Struthio camelus: one gene and its partners. The protein of the gene in region 2 purifies or fractionates together with the protein of the main gene of each other region. This does not show direct contact. Links are inferred from orthologs where the notes say so. Each region holds a gene or a part of one and is shown on either strand. Other genes may lie near its edges.

The links.
Region 1: the proteins of L3MBTL2 (region 2) and TFDP1 purify together in Homo sapiens (affinity purification with mass spectrometry; 4 studies listed by BioGRID and IntAct, counting the BioPlex papers as one, with this or other methods). This does not show direct contact. The link is inferred for Struthio camelus from reciprocal best matches to the Homo sapiens genes L3MBTL2 and TFDP1.
Region 3: the proteins of L3MBTL2 (region 2) and YAF2 purify together in Homo sapiens (affinity purification with mass spectrometry; 5 studies listed by BioGRID and IntAct, counting the BioPlex papers as one, with this or other methods). This does not show direct contact. The link is inferred for Struthio camelus from reciprocal best matches to the Homo sapiens genes L3MBTL2 and YAF2.

Annotation. Positions count from the first base shown.
Region 1 is NC_090942.1:156,568,301-156,572,043, reverse strand, and holds the start of TFDP1 (transcription factor Dp-1), read left to right. Parts: upstream 1-1,469; 5' UTR 1,470-1,684; intron 1,685-1,850; exon of another isoform or gene 1,851-1,901; intron 1,902-2,089; exon of another isoform or gene 2,090-2,397; intron 2,398-2,475; exon of another isoform or gene 2,476-2,720; intron 2,721-2,735; exon of another isoform or gene 2,736-3,147; intron 3,148-3,324; 5' UTR 3,325-3,398; coding exon 3,399-3,410; intron 3,411-3,743. UniProt on the Homo sapiens protein: Can stimulate E2F-dependent transcription.
Region 2 is NC_090942.1:56,935,225-56,938,967, forward strand, and holds the start of L3MBTL2 (lethal(3)malignant brain tumor-like protein 2), read right to left. Parts: upstream 2,298-3,743; 5' UTR 2,207-2,297; coding exon 2,186-2,206; intron 1,848-2,185; exon of another isoform or gene 1,650-1,847; coding exon of another isoform or gene 1,644-1,649; intron 448-1,643; coding exon 180-447; intron 1-179. UniProt on the Homo sapiens protein: Putative Polycomb group (PcG) protein. PcG proteins maintain the transcriptionally repressive state of genes, probably via a modification of chromatin, rendering it heritably changed in its expressibility.
Region 3 is NC_090942.1:33,985,529-33,989,271, reverse strand, and holds the start of YAF2 (YY1-associated factor 2), read left to right. Parts: upstream 1-1,041; 5' UTR 1,042-1,258; coding exon 1,259-1,284; intron 1,285-1,382; coding exon 1,383-1,574; intron 1,575-3,743. UniProt on the Homo sapiens protein: Binds to MYC and inhibits MYC-mediated transactivation. Also binds to MYCN and enhances MYCN-dependent transcriptional activation. Increases calpain 2-mediated proteolysis of YY1 in vitro.

The DNA of each region.
Region 1 (3,743 bases), about 100 Mb from region 2:
GGAGGAGATGCTGGCTTTTTTGAGTTGTTGTGTGTGTGTTTTTTTTTTTTTTTTTTGGCTGAGGCTGGTTTTGTTGACTGGAGAGCTGACAGCTTACTGGCCTGAGATTTTGAATAGTAGCTCTCTTAATGTAGTTGAATCTTGCAATACTGCTGACAGCTTTATCTACCTGTTCTTGGAATGGGTCACCATGCAGAAAGATCTCAGCTGCTTCACCTGAGGGTCAGCTCTGGGCATTCAGGGGCAGCACTGGGGAGGTCTGTGTCTTCCTCAACAGTTACGTTTCCAATATGATTATCTTTTCAGAGGCTCACTGCTCTTCAAGCTCAGTCAAGAATGAAGAATGGAAAAATGGGTATAACCCCATTTTAGTTAGCAGAGCAGGGTACTAAATCATCAGCCATGGAACCTGAAAATAGTGAGTGACAGGTAGCAAGGTGTTACTGTAAAGGAAAAACTTGGACTGTGGCTACATTTATCAAAAGAATCAGAGTAACTAGTGTTTTCTCATTGTTAGAAAACACAACTCCAAGATTTAAAAAAAAAAAAAAAAAAGTGTAAAAGAGGTAAACTCAGTGTGAATCTAGTCAACTGATGAACCTTCTCTGGGGACTGTGACTGATTTTTCGTTCTGTTTTTATATAGTAGCTCTCCTGGTAATGTCTTTTATTCACGAATAGTCGTCTTTCCCAGGCACGATCAGGAAGTAGCACAGTTTTTGAGAAAGAAAGAATCTTTTCTTTCCTGCTCCCCTCTTGACTGTGTTACGATAACCTTATCATACACACTTGGTATTGCATGCAAAAGTTGCTGAGCAGCTCCCTCCCTCAAGCAGTCTTTTATCTGCACCTATAACCAACACAGCTTTTGAAGCATAAGGCTTTGCCTTTGCTAGTTTCTACCGTTATTGCTATGCCTTTATAGCTCCTACTATGCATGCTGAAAGTTTTTTGCCAAAAATTACATCTTTGTTGTATAATTACATCACGCAGCCCTAGCTAACAAACATCTTTTCTGCTGCTGTAGCTGCACGCGCGCTTGTCTTTCTGCTAGCATATAGAGTATGTGGAGGTTTCACATCCTTAAGTGCAAGAAATCATGCAGGCTGATTCTTTAGGGCGGATCTGGCCTAATTCAAGCACCACAGCAGCAGCTGTGTAACAGGAAAATTTTTCCCTGCAAGTGCTATGAAATGACAAGCTTGGAATGGATCAGCCTCAGTGAAGTTGCTCAAGTAACAGCAGGACAAGAAGCGATGAGGAAGCACCGGCAGGATGTTGTGGCAACTAACCACACCGTGCAAGCCGGCTCCAATTTAACAGCGTCATGGCACCCGCAGCCCCTGAAACGCTGTCAGCCGGGGCCGGGGAACGCTAGGGCTTCCCATCGGCCGCGGGCGAGGAGCGCGGAGGCGAGACGCGGCGCGGGCTGCCTGCCTCCCTCCCTCCGCGAGGAGCCCGGCGGCGGCCGGGGCCGAAGAGCAATCTCGCGCCGAGGCTTCCCGCGCGCTCGCTCCGAGCGCCGCAGGGCGGGCAGTCCGAAGGCGCGAAAATCCCGCGCATGCTCCCTCCGCCCACGGAGGGGCGGACGGTTGCCTCTAACCGCTCCGCGTGTGCCCGTGCAAGGCACGCTACACCCCCGTGACGTCAGCGCGCAGCGTCACGCCGGTGGGACGCACAAAAGTGTAAGTTTCAATTTTTTTTTTTCCTGCCAACGGGGGAAAGGAAAAAAAAAAAAGAAAGGAAAGAAAGAAAGAAAGAATCGCAGGGTCGCGCGCGCGCGCGCGCGCGGGACCCGGGGAGGGGCCGCGGTGCTGGCGCCCCCTCCGCGCCCCCCCCACCCCCCGCGGCAGCCCCGGCCAGGGGAGAGCGCGGAGGGCGGGCGGCGCGGAGCCCGCGCAGGTGTGCGGGGCCGGGGGCGGCCGGGCGGGCCCGCTCGCACCTGGGGGGGGGGCAGGCGGCGGCGGCGGTTCGCCGGGAGCCCGCCAGGCCGTTGACCCGCTGGGGCAGGGGCGGTCTGGGAAGTGACAGGCGGTGAGGCGAGCCGCCCCCCCCATGTCCCCCCCCCCCCGTGCTCTCCACGCCGCGCCGCGCCGCGCGAGGAGGGGGGCGGTCCCTGCCGGCCCCCCCTCCCCGCCTGAGCTACCGTTGGGGACCGTTGGTCGTCTCCCCCCCCCCCCCCCCAAGTCGCTGCCGCCGGCTGCCTCCTCCCCTGCCCCCTCCCGCCGGGCTCGCCAGGCCCGCGCGCGCCGCCGCCGCCGCTGCCGCACATGTGCAGTTCGGCGCCTCCGCAGCAGCGCGGCGCCGGGCGGGGGGTGCTCCTGCTCCGCGCTCCGGGTCCCTGTCTGGGGGCGGCGGCGGGGGATGGAGCCGGCTCTCTCCGCCTTCGGCCGCTCAGGTGCGGGCAGCCCGGGCCGGCCTGCGGGAGGAGGAGGAGGAGGATGGGGATGATCCGAGGGGGGTGTTGGGGGGGGGGGGGAGTTGGCGCCAGGCGAGGTGCTGCCGGCGGCGGGGCGAGGAGGATTAGGAGAGGACGGACCCCCCCCCCCGCCCGCCTGCTGCCGCCTTCCCCCCCCCCCCCCCAAGCCGCTGCCGGCGATGCCGCCTCGCGCGCGGGCGCATTTCCCCCCTTCCTCGTGCCCCCGCCGCCGCTGAGGCGATTAGCGCGGCCCCTCGCTGCTGAGGGGAAGGCGGCGCGGGGCTTAGGGCTCTGCCCGGGCGGTGAGGCCCTGGTCGGGGGGCATCGAGGGGGCGGTGGGGGAGGCGGGCGGGCGTGCTGGTGCCCGAGGCGCGGTGGCAAGTGCCCGTCTCTGCCTCTTGGTGCAGCCGCGGCCCGTCCGCCCGCGAGGGGAGGAGGAGGAAAGGGGGGTTGCGGAAGGCCCCGGGGGGAGCTGGCCCCTGAGGCCTACTTGTGCCTGCTGCTGGAAATGGGGGTGGGGAGGAGGAGGAGGCCGCCGAGGGAGTGATCTCTTCTCCCCGTCGCTTCTGCCCGCGCCCTTCTCCGCGGGGTTGCAAAGGGCGCAGCTGGACAGGGACCGGCCCAGCGTGGGCTCCGGCTGCCCTGCTGGGATCGGGTATGTGCTGGGGGAAGGGCGCTCCTGCCAGCGGAGAGCTCACCCCAGCTGTAGGATAAGGGGTATTTCTAAATGTGAGTTTGGGGTGGGGGGCACTAGGGGGTTATTTGATGATGACATAAAACTTTTTCTTCTTAAAAACATTTTTTTTTAAAAAGTAAAATGTATTTGGTGGTATTCAGTAATTTCCACGGTAAAAACTTTTCCCCCTTTCGTTCTTGTAGCTGATGTTGTCTTTACTTACTTTCTAGAAAATAGCATCAATTGTCTCTGTGTCCTGCAGCCATCAAGATTTGAAGAGGATTGATTTCTAGTCTTTGGTAACATGGCAAAAGATGTAAGTATGTTTGTAGTATGTCATATGCGGAGGAATAGCTAATATATTTTTGCTTTTGTTTTTACTAGCAGAAGGAAAGCAATTTATGCTTTACAGTAGCCGGCATTAGTGGATTTGTGGAATATACTTTTCCTCTGTTATACACCACGCTGAGACTGTTTTTCTTCAGATGTTACAACATAAAGCCAGCTTTATATCTGCAGCCATTTTTCAGAGTAATTAATCAAGGAGTCAATGTCCTCATAAAAGCACTTAAGCACTTGCGTTGGTGGCGTTATGTGTATTCACATTGGATGCTAAAAATACTTATTTTTGAGTTTACGTACATAAAAA
Region 2 (3,743 bases):
GGTAACCCTCTTTGCACCTAGCAGTTCCCCCAGGTAACCCAGAAAGTGCAGTTTCAACCCAGTTCTGCTCACAAACCATACTCAAGATACAGTCATATGCTCTTTGGCTTCCCTCAGCAAAAATTCCAGCCCTTGTTCTATCACACATATGCGTTAGAAATGGGAAGGCAGCACAGTACCTGGCTCAGAGCCACTGTCCTCTGTCAGTCGGCCTGTGGACGGCTGGTGCTGGTGCACAGGGGAGGTCGGAAGCTCTCCAGCTTCCCGATCCACCACCTCATCATCACTAGACTCATCCAGGCATGAGCTGCTGTCGCTGCCCATGCTGCTGTTGTAGCCCCGGAAGCTGTCGTAACCTCCAAAGATGTCCAATTCATCATCTTCATCATCATCTTCCTCCTCCATCCGCTCCAAAGATGAAGTCTTGTGGCGGAAGGGAGACACCAACTAGCAAGAGAACCAGTCTGCTTTAAAACAGGCATTTTACACCTCACCCCACAACAAGCCTGCCTTCGCTGCCAGGACCTCCCGAACCAGGGATAGGTCTCGGTGAGCGAGGAGTCCATGTAACAAACCCAGAGGCAAGAGTTCAAACCCATAGCAAGGAAGTTATTCCCCCCTCACACAGGTTCCTTCACAAGTATTTCATGTGATGCATTCTGCTTTCACAGGGCAAACAAACACAGCCACAGAGCTGCAGCTACATGGAAAAAGGCTCGAGAAAGAGATGAGACTATGCCCTTCCAGGCACTGTCTCTCCCAACAGCAGCACAGCAGAGCAGACACCATCAACAATAACAAACCAAGGTCACCACAAGCTTCCAGCACAGAGGACAAAACTTCAAACTCTGGTGACCATAGCCCACAAAATCAGTTCAACTTGGGTGTCAGCAGAACAAACTCGACTTTAGAGAAAGTTCATGTTCTATGGAAATGACTTAGTCCAGAGCTGACCTAAGTTCAGAAGCTGCATCAGCAGGAAGACAGAACAACTTTTGTTAACAGTCTTTCCCTATAACTAGATCTGTCTGTATCTACACATCTTCACAAGCTCTTCATACTAATTTATCCAATCCAAAGATAGGTTTCAACCTGTTACAGCAAGAGGGCAGAGAGGTAGCGATTGATGAAAAGCCTCAGAAGTCCGATGACTACTTTTCCAACTAGAAGAATCCTGAACTGGACTCCAAAAAGGGCAAAAAAAAAAGCTGGGAAAAGGTGTTAGCAGTTCAGGAACGAGCAGCAAAAAGTCAGCATCAGCACAGACAGTGAGGGAAGAGAAAGATGGATTAGAGCAGCAACGTGAGGGACCAGGAGACAGTTGTTCATCCAAGTAGGCAGTAACTAAGGATCAGCAGCAAATCCATCCCTTTCCAGTGCTAAATTCCCACTAGTTCCTGGCTCCTGGGTAGTATTACAGAGACATAAACAGGAAGATAACAGACTTCATTCATTGCTGTCTCCCCATATCCTCCCTTGCTTTCACAAAAAAAACAAACCGAAGCCACCGAGGTTGTTCCCTGAACATCAGGGCTGCTTTCCTGCAGGTCCACATCCTCAGGCAGTGTTCCTGATGCCTAAAAGGGGCTAGACTCTCTCAAAAAGCACATTCGTCTCCTTCTTGCCCCTTTCACAGCGCTCACCTTCATTCAGCTCATAAGAAACGAGTATCTTTGGACCGTTACTCTTCCATTAAACGCGACTGAAAACTCCCAGAGCTGACGAGCGAGGACAGCACCGCCCGTAACCCCATCTCCTAAGCGAGGCGAGCCGGGCGCAAAGGCCCGTCCTGCCCAGGGCCGGACGGGCCCAGCTCCCCCCCCCCCCCCCCCCAACAGCAGCAGCCCGGCCCCAGGCAGCGCGAAGGCGGGGCGAAGAGCCACGTCGGTTACCACAACAATACGGCGGCCACGAGGAGGAGAAGGAGGAAGATGCCCGCTCCTCCCGGCTCCGGGCAGCCGTTAGTACGCCACCACAGCCGTTACCCCGCCACCACAGCCCAGGCCTCGCCCCCTTCCTCAGGGCGCCGCGTGGCCCAAGCCTCCTCGCCCGCTGCTCCAGGGCTTCGCCCAGCACCCGGCAGGCCGCATCGCAACTGCGAGACCGGCAGCCTTCCCCTGGCCCGGTTCCGGCCCCGGAGGAGCCCCCAGTCCAGTCCAGTCCGGCCCGGCCCAACGCCTCTCACCTCCCCCCGCTCCTGCTCCATGGCTCCCGAGACGCCGCTACCCGCCTCACGCGCCGGGAGCGCGTCCCCCCTCCAGCGGCACAGCTGAGTGGTGGGAGGGCGGAAGGAAGGAGCCAATCAGCGCAGAGGTTGTTCCCGGCCACGCTCCCCGAAGAGCACGACGGGAGTTGTAGTTCAGCACCCCCCCGGCCGAGGCGGGGCGGAGCGGCCATGGCGCCTCACGCGGCTCCTCACGCCGAGGCCGGCTCCCCGGCACCGGGGTGTGTTTTAACAAGAATTAGGTTAGGTCTAGGCCACAAGGAGATCTGGGGAGAGCCGACGGGGAGAGGGTGAGACTACTGTTACTTAATCCCTGTAAGTTGTATTTAACCTAATTTTCCACCGATCCGTGGTTGCCCACCGCGCCCGGCAGAGGTGCCACAGCAACTGAAGCAAGCAAGTAAATATTTCTCAAAGTGCCCCTGAAGGAGGCCACTTCAGCCAGGCACGCTGGGAAGAGGCTTTGGAGCCAGCGGGGCGCCTGCACCCTCCAAAGGGATCCCTGAAGTGGCTTTCGGAGCTGGCTGACTCGGTAGCCAGGGTCAGACAGTCGCACGACACCCCCTCAGACAACCGGCGGACGCTTGCGTACGTGTGAACTATACGACCCACAAAAAGAAGGCACGGCCTTTAAAGAAATCTTTTTTTCATCCGTTCCCCTAGTTGCGGAATAGCTCTCTCCGATCCTGAAGGCGCTTTTTAAATTTTGCCCGCGTTTTCTTTACGGAAGTCTCTGGATTAGAGAACGCGGCACGTCAGGCTGTGGCTGCGCAGATCTTGCCTCACATAAGGTCTTTGCTCCCACAAAGGCAGGAGCGCTGCGTCAGTGAACGCAGCGACTGAAAAGTATATTTCTGCTACTTGTCCTGTGCTAAAGCAAGGATAGAGGCAGAATCCCAGAGCCGATGACAGTGGTACAGTTACAGAACAGAACAGACAGTATCAGTCCTTGCCTAGCAGTCACGCAGAATAACTGGAAATGAATGCAGAAGCCTTTTCTCATATGTACTCATTGATCTACCAATTTTACAGAATACGTGAATGAAAAATTGAGTCTCCAGGAGAGACTCTGATGGAGGTTTGTGCTCGTGGCACAGGGAGCTACCGCCATGACATTTAGCTGAAGATTAAATGAAGGCAGCTGAAGTACTGGGAAGTCACTAGCACCTCAAGGGCTTGTGCCAAGTTGACTTGGATCATTCTTTTAATTGTTAGAAGGTCTATTTAGGTGAAGGAAATTAAGGTATTTAACGTATGTACGGAACGGAGGATGGCAGGCCTGGTGGCTCGCTGTAGTTCCCCCACTGGCCCGCTATGCTCTTGGTACTGCTAATTCATTCCCTTGCCTCCTGCTTGCGGCATCTCAAATCAGTGATAGATTTATGTGACTAAATTACATAGTGTATTGACTTGGTTATATTGTATAGTCTGTCTGGATGAGGTCATGCAGCAAGCTGAACGTGTTTTCGTGCAAAATCACAATGCATGTGTGTCACTGTCAGCCAGTCCTGGAAGCTTT
Region 3 (3,743 bases), about 23 Mb from region 2:
GTCTGCCAGTACTCTGCCATCTACCTGTATCTGACTGCTGCCTTTTGTTACGTACTTAGGACATGTGCTCTTTGTTCTGTTTGTACAGCATCTTGCAAAATGGCATCCTACTCCGTGACTGGGGCTCCTGTGCACTGCTGTAACACAGGTAACAAATAATAGTGTTTTGTTTCATGTTACTGTGTTGCATGTGAACCACGTTGTACTTCTGCACTTTTAAGTACAAAGGCCAAGCATTACATGTGGATACTAGATAACACCGTTATCTTCTGATTTTGTATCAGCACCTATCACATTCTCCCTGTGCCTCACTGGCCTGCGTGGTTTCTAAGCAGACCCCCACGAAGCATTCATTTTATCTCCTTTCCCTCCTTAAACCAAAGCACGGCCCGGCAAAAATTTCTCTGGAAAGGAGAACGAGGCAAACGAGACGTTATTGCAAACGTTATTCTGTGCTAACAGAAACGCGGTCTCAGCGGGAAAGCAGCGCCGGCCGGCACGAAAACACGCGAATGCCGCATCGCTCCTGATTTGGCCCGGGACGCTCCCTCGCGTCTCCCCGACGGGCAGAGCCCCGCCGCCGCCGCCGCCCCTTCCCGCAGCGAGGCCCGGCCGCCCGCCCGCCACAGCGCCGTGCCCCCGCCGCTCGCCGGCCCTTGCCCGCTCCGCACCCGCCGGCGGCCCGCGGCCTGGGCCGCAAACCCTGCGGAGCAGCACGGCGCCGCCGGGAAGGGCGGCGGGGCGGCGGCGGACCGCGCCGCGCCCGGCCTACCCCAACACCGCCGCCGCCATGTGCCACCAGGCGGCCGGGCGCCCCGCGGGACAATGGCAGCGGCCGCCGCCGGGCCCGGCCCTCAGCACGCCCCCCCCCCCCCCCCGCCGCCATGCCGCGGCCCCTCCCGCCGGCGGCGCCCCCAGCAGCCCCCGCGGCGCCCGGTCCCTCCGCCGCCGCCGCCCGGCCGCCACCGGCCGTTGCGAACCTGCCGCCGCGCGCGGCCCGCCGGGCGCCGCGGCCTGCGGGCGGCCGCTGGTTGGCGGCGGGGGGACACGTGAGGGGGGAGGGGGCAGCAGCGGCGGCGGCGGCGGCAGGAGTTTCCCCGACAGCTGGAGGTTGCGGCGGCGGCTCCTCCTCCTCCTCCTCCTCCTCCCCCCCGGGTCCCCGCTAGAGACAAGCGCCCCCCGCGCTCCTCCTTATTGACAAATACACAAAGGGCCGCGCCGGGCCGCGCCGCGCCGGGGGGACGCGTCTGGAGCCGGCATGGGAGACAAGAAGAGCCCGACCAGGTAGGGGCAGCGCCGGGGCCCGGTACCGCGGAGAGATGGCGGCCGGCGGGGCGCTCCCGGGGGAGGCGGCGGCGGCGGGGCCGGCGTGACGGCGGTAGGTTTCTCTCCCCCCCCCCTTTTCCACCCCCCCCCCCCGGCCCCGCTGTGTGCGTATGTCTCCGCAGGCCGAAGCGGCAGCCGAAACCCTCCTCGGACGAGGGTTACTGGGACTGCAGCGTCTGCACCTTCCGCAACAGCGCCGAGGCCTTCAAGTGCATGATGTGCGACGTGAGGAAGGGCACCTCCACACGGTGAGTGCCCGCCGCGCCGCGCCACGCCACGCGGGGAGCCGTTGGCCGGGCTCCCCCCTCCTCCCCCCGGCCACCCCGCGCCGTGAGGGAGACCGGCTGTGACAGGAATGAGGTCACGTTTAGCGGGGAGCCCCGGGCTGGGGGCGGGGGGGGGGGGTCGCAGCGAGACTTCGTCTCGCTGCGACCCCCCCCCCCGCCCCCAGCCCGGGGCTCCCCACTAAACATGACCCCAGGCAGGCCCCGCTCCTCCGTGCGTGGACTGCGGCCCGATGAGATTTACTGACTGGAGAGAGGGTGGTGTAACCGTGTCTCCTCCCCGAGGTTACCGCGCTGTAACTGCCGGGAGAGGAGCGAAAAATAATAATAATAAAAACAACAGCCAAAAAAATAATAGTCTGTACAGCCCAAACATTTGCAAGGCCGTGCCCCTCGCAGAAGGGAAGAGCCATCCCCCCCCCCCCCCCCTGCTGGGGCATGGTTGGTTGGTTAAAACCCTCACCTGAATTAATATCTCTTTTTTCTTCTTCTAAGGAGTTTAACTTCGTCTCCCTAAAATGTCATTTATACCCCCCTCCTCTTCACCCCCCCCAACCGGCTGCTTGCTTTCATCCACAGAGCTATTTTGCTCCACCATGCAGATTTTGGTGGCTGTAGAGATGGATAGTGACTCTTGGCTGTTTCAAAAGGAATTGTGAATGGGCTGAGTTGTGCCGTGTGGAAGTGGCACCCTGAAAAATCAGTGACTTCCCAGGAAGGGCCTTTTTTTCTGTAGCACCCATTTGAAAGCTTGCAGTGAATTAACTGGTTCCCATGTGTATCTGTATTGTTCAATAATATGGCCTAAATGGACGCGCTTGGGGAATGGAGGATTTTTATAAAACCAACAGGACTGCACTTGTAGTCTTTGTGTGCTGACAGAATATTATTAAAGAATCCTTTGTGGTGATTATCATACCTATTGGCTAATCCTGTCAGCAAGAGAAGTTTAAGTGGCAATAAAAGTTGCAATCCTATCAAAAACAGCAATTACGTTCTAAATATCATTCAAAGCAATATGGAATATGAATTGCAACAAATGTATGTTTAAAATCAAAAGTGCAAAGTTAAGTCAAATTATTTTACAAGTAAGATTCTGCTTTATTTCTAACACCTATTTCCTAGACTTCTGAAAACCTGAATGAATGTCCAAAGTACTTCTGATAACTTAGTCTTGAATGCTTGTTGATTTTTGTTTTTTTTTTTTTTTTAATAATAAGGGAATCGGTGAGATAAATGTGCTAAGAGGAACTGTATCTGTCACATATAGCATGGTTTATGTCAAGACTGGCTTTGCGTTTGTGTCATGGATAGGTCTGTATGGATCGATAATATTCAACAGAATAACACTGCTGAAAGAGTGAATGCAAAATCTTTAAAACAGCAGAGATGCGAGTAACAACCTTTTTTTAAACACTACTCAGTTGCATTGGCAAAGTCAGTTTAAGATAGTGTTTTGTCCCACTGGGAACTCAGTGAGATAAAAGCACTAAAACTTAAAAATCTTCGGAATAAATAAGTAGATAAACCAGTTGGCCTTTTCCTCTTGAATGTTTTGGGAGCAAAATATAGAGCTTGAATTTTGGTGTCTCTTTCCTCCCCCACAATGTTCTCGTACGCAGAGTTTTAGCTGGTGCGTTGATTTTTATTTTTCTACTCAAACTCCGCAACAAATGTGTAGCTGACTAGGTTTATGTTTTTTTTTTTTTCTTGTAAGGTTTAAATGGGTCACATTTTCACATGTGTGCAAAGCCCAGGATTTACACATGGCATGAGATAAATACAGGTTGTGGTTTTAGACCAGGCAATTTTAAGCTCCAAATCTGAAACTAGATTTGAGCTAGTAAGTAGACCTTTGTGTCTCTGGAGAGAATCATTTGTGTCTCCCTGGCACCTTAAAGACCATTTGGGTGGACTTTTTTTAAAAGGAGCTGGAGTCCAAAAAACCAAATTGGGTCCCTGTTAAAACATTTGCTCATATTGCCTGTGCAATGAAGTGTTTTTCGTCAATGTTGTTCAAAATAGCAACGCTGTGGAGTTTAGATGGGAATTAATTTTTTCCAGCCTACCATTTTTAAATTTAATGTTTATATGGATTAAGCTGATGCCTCCACAGAGTTCTTAGTGTGCATT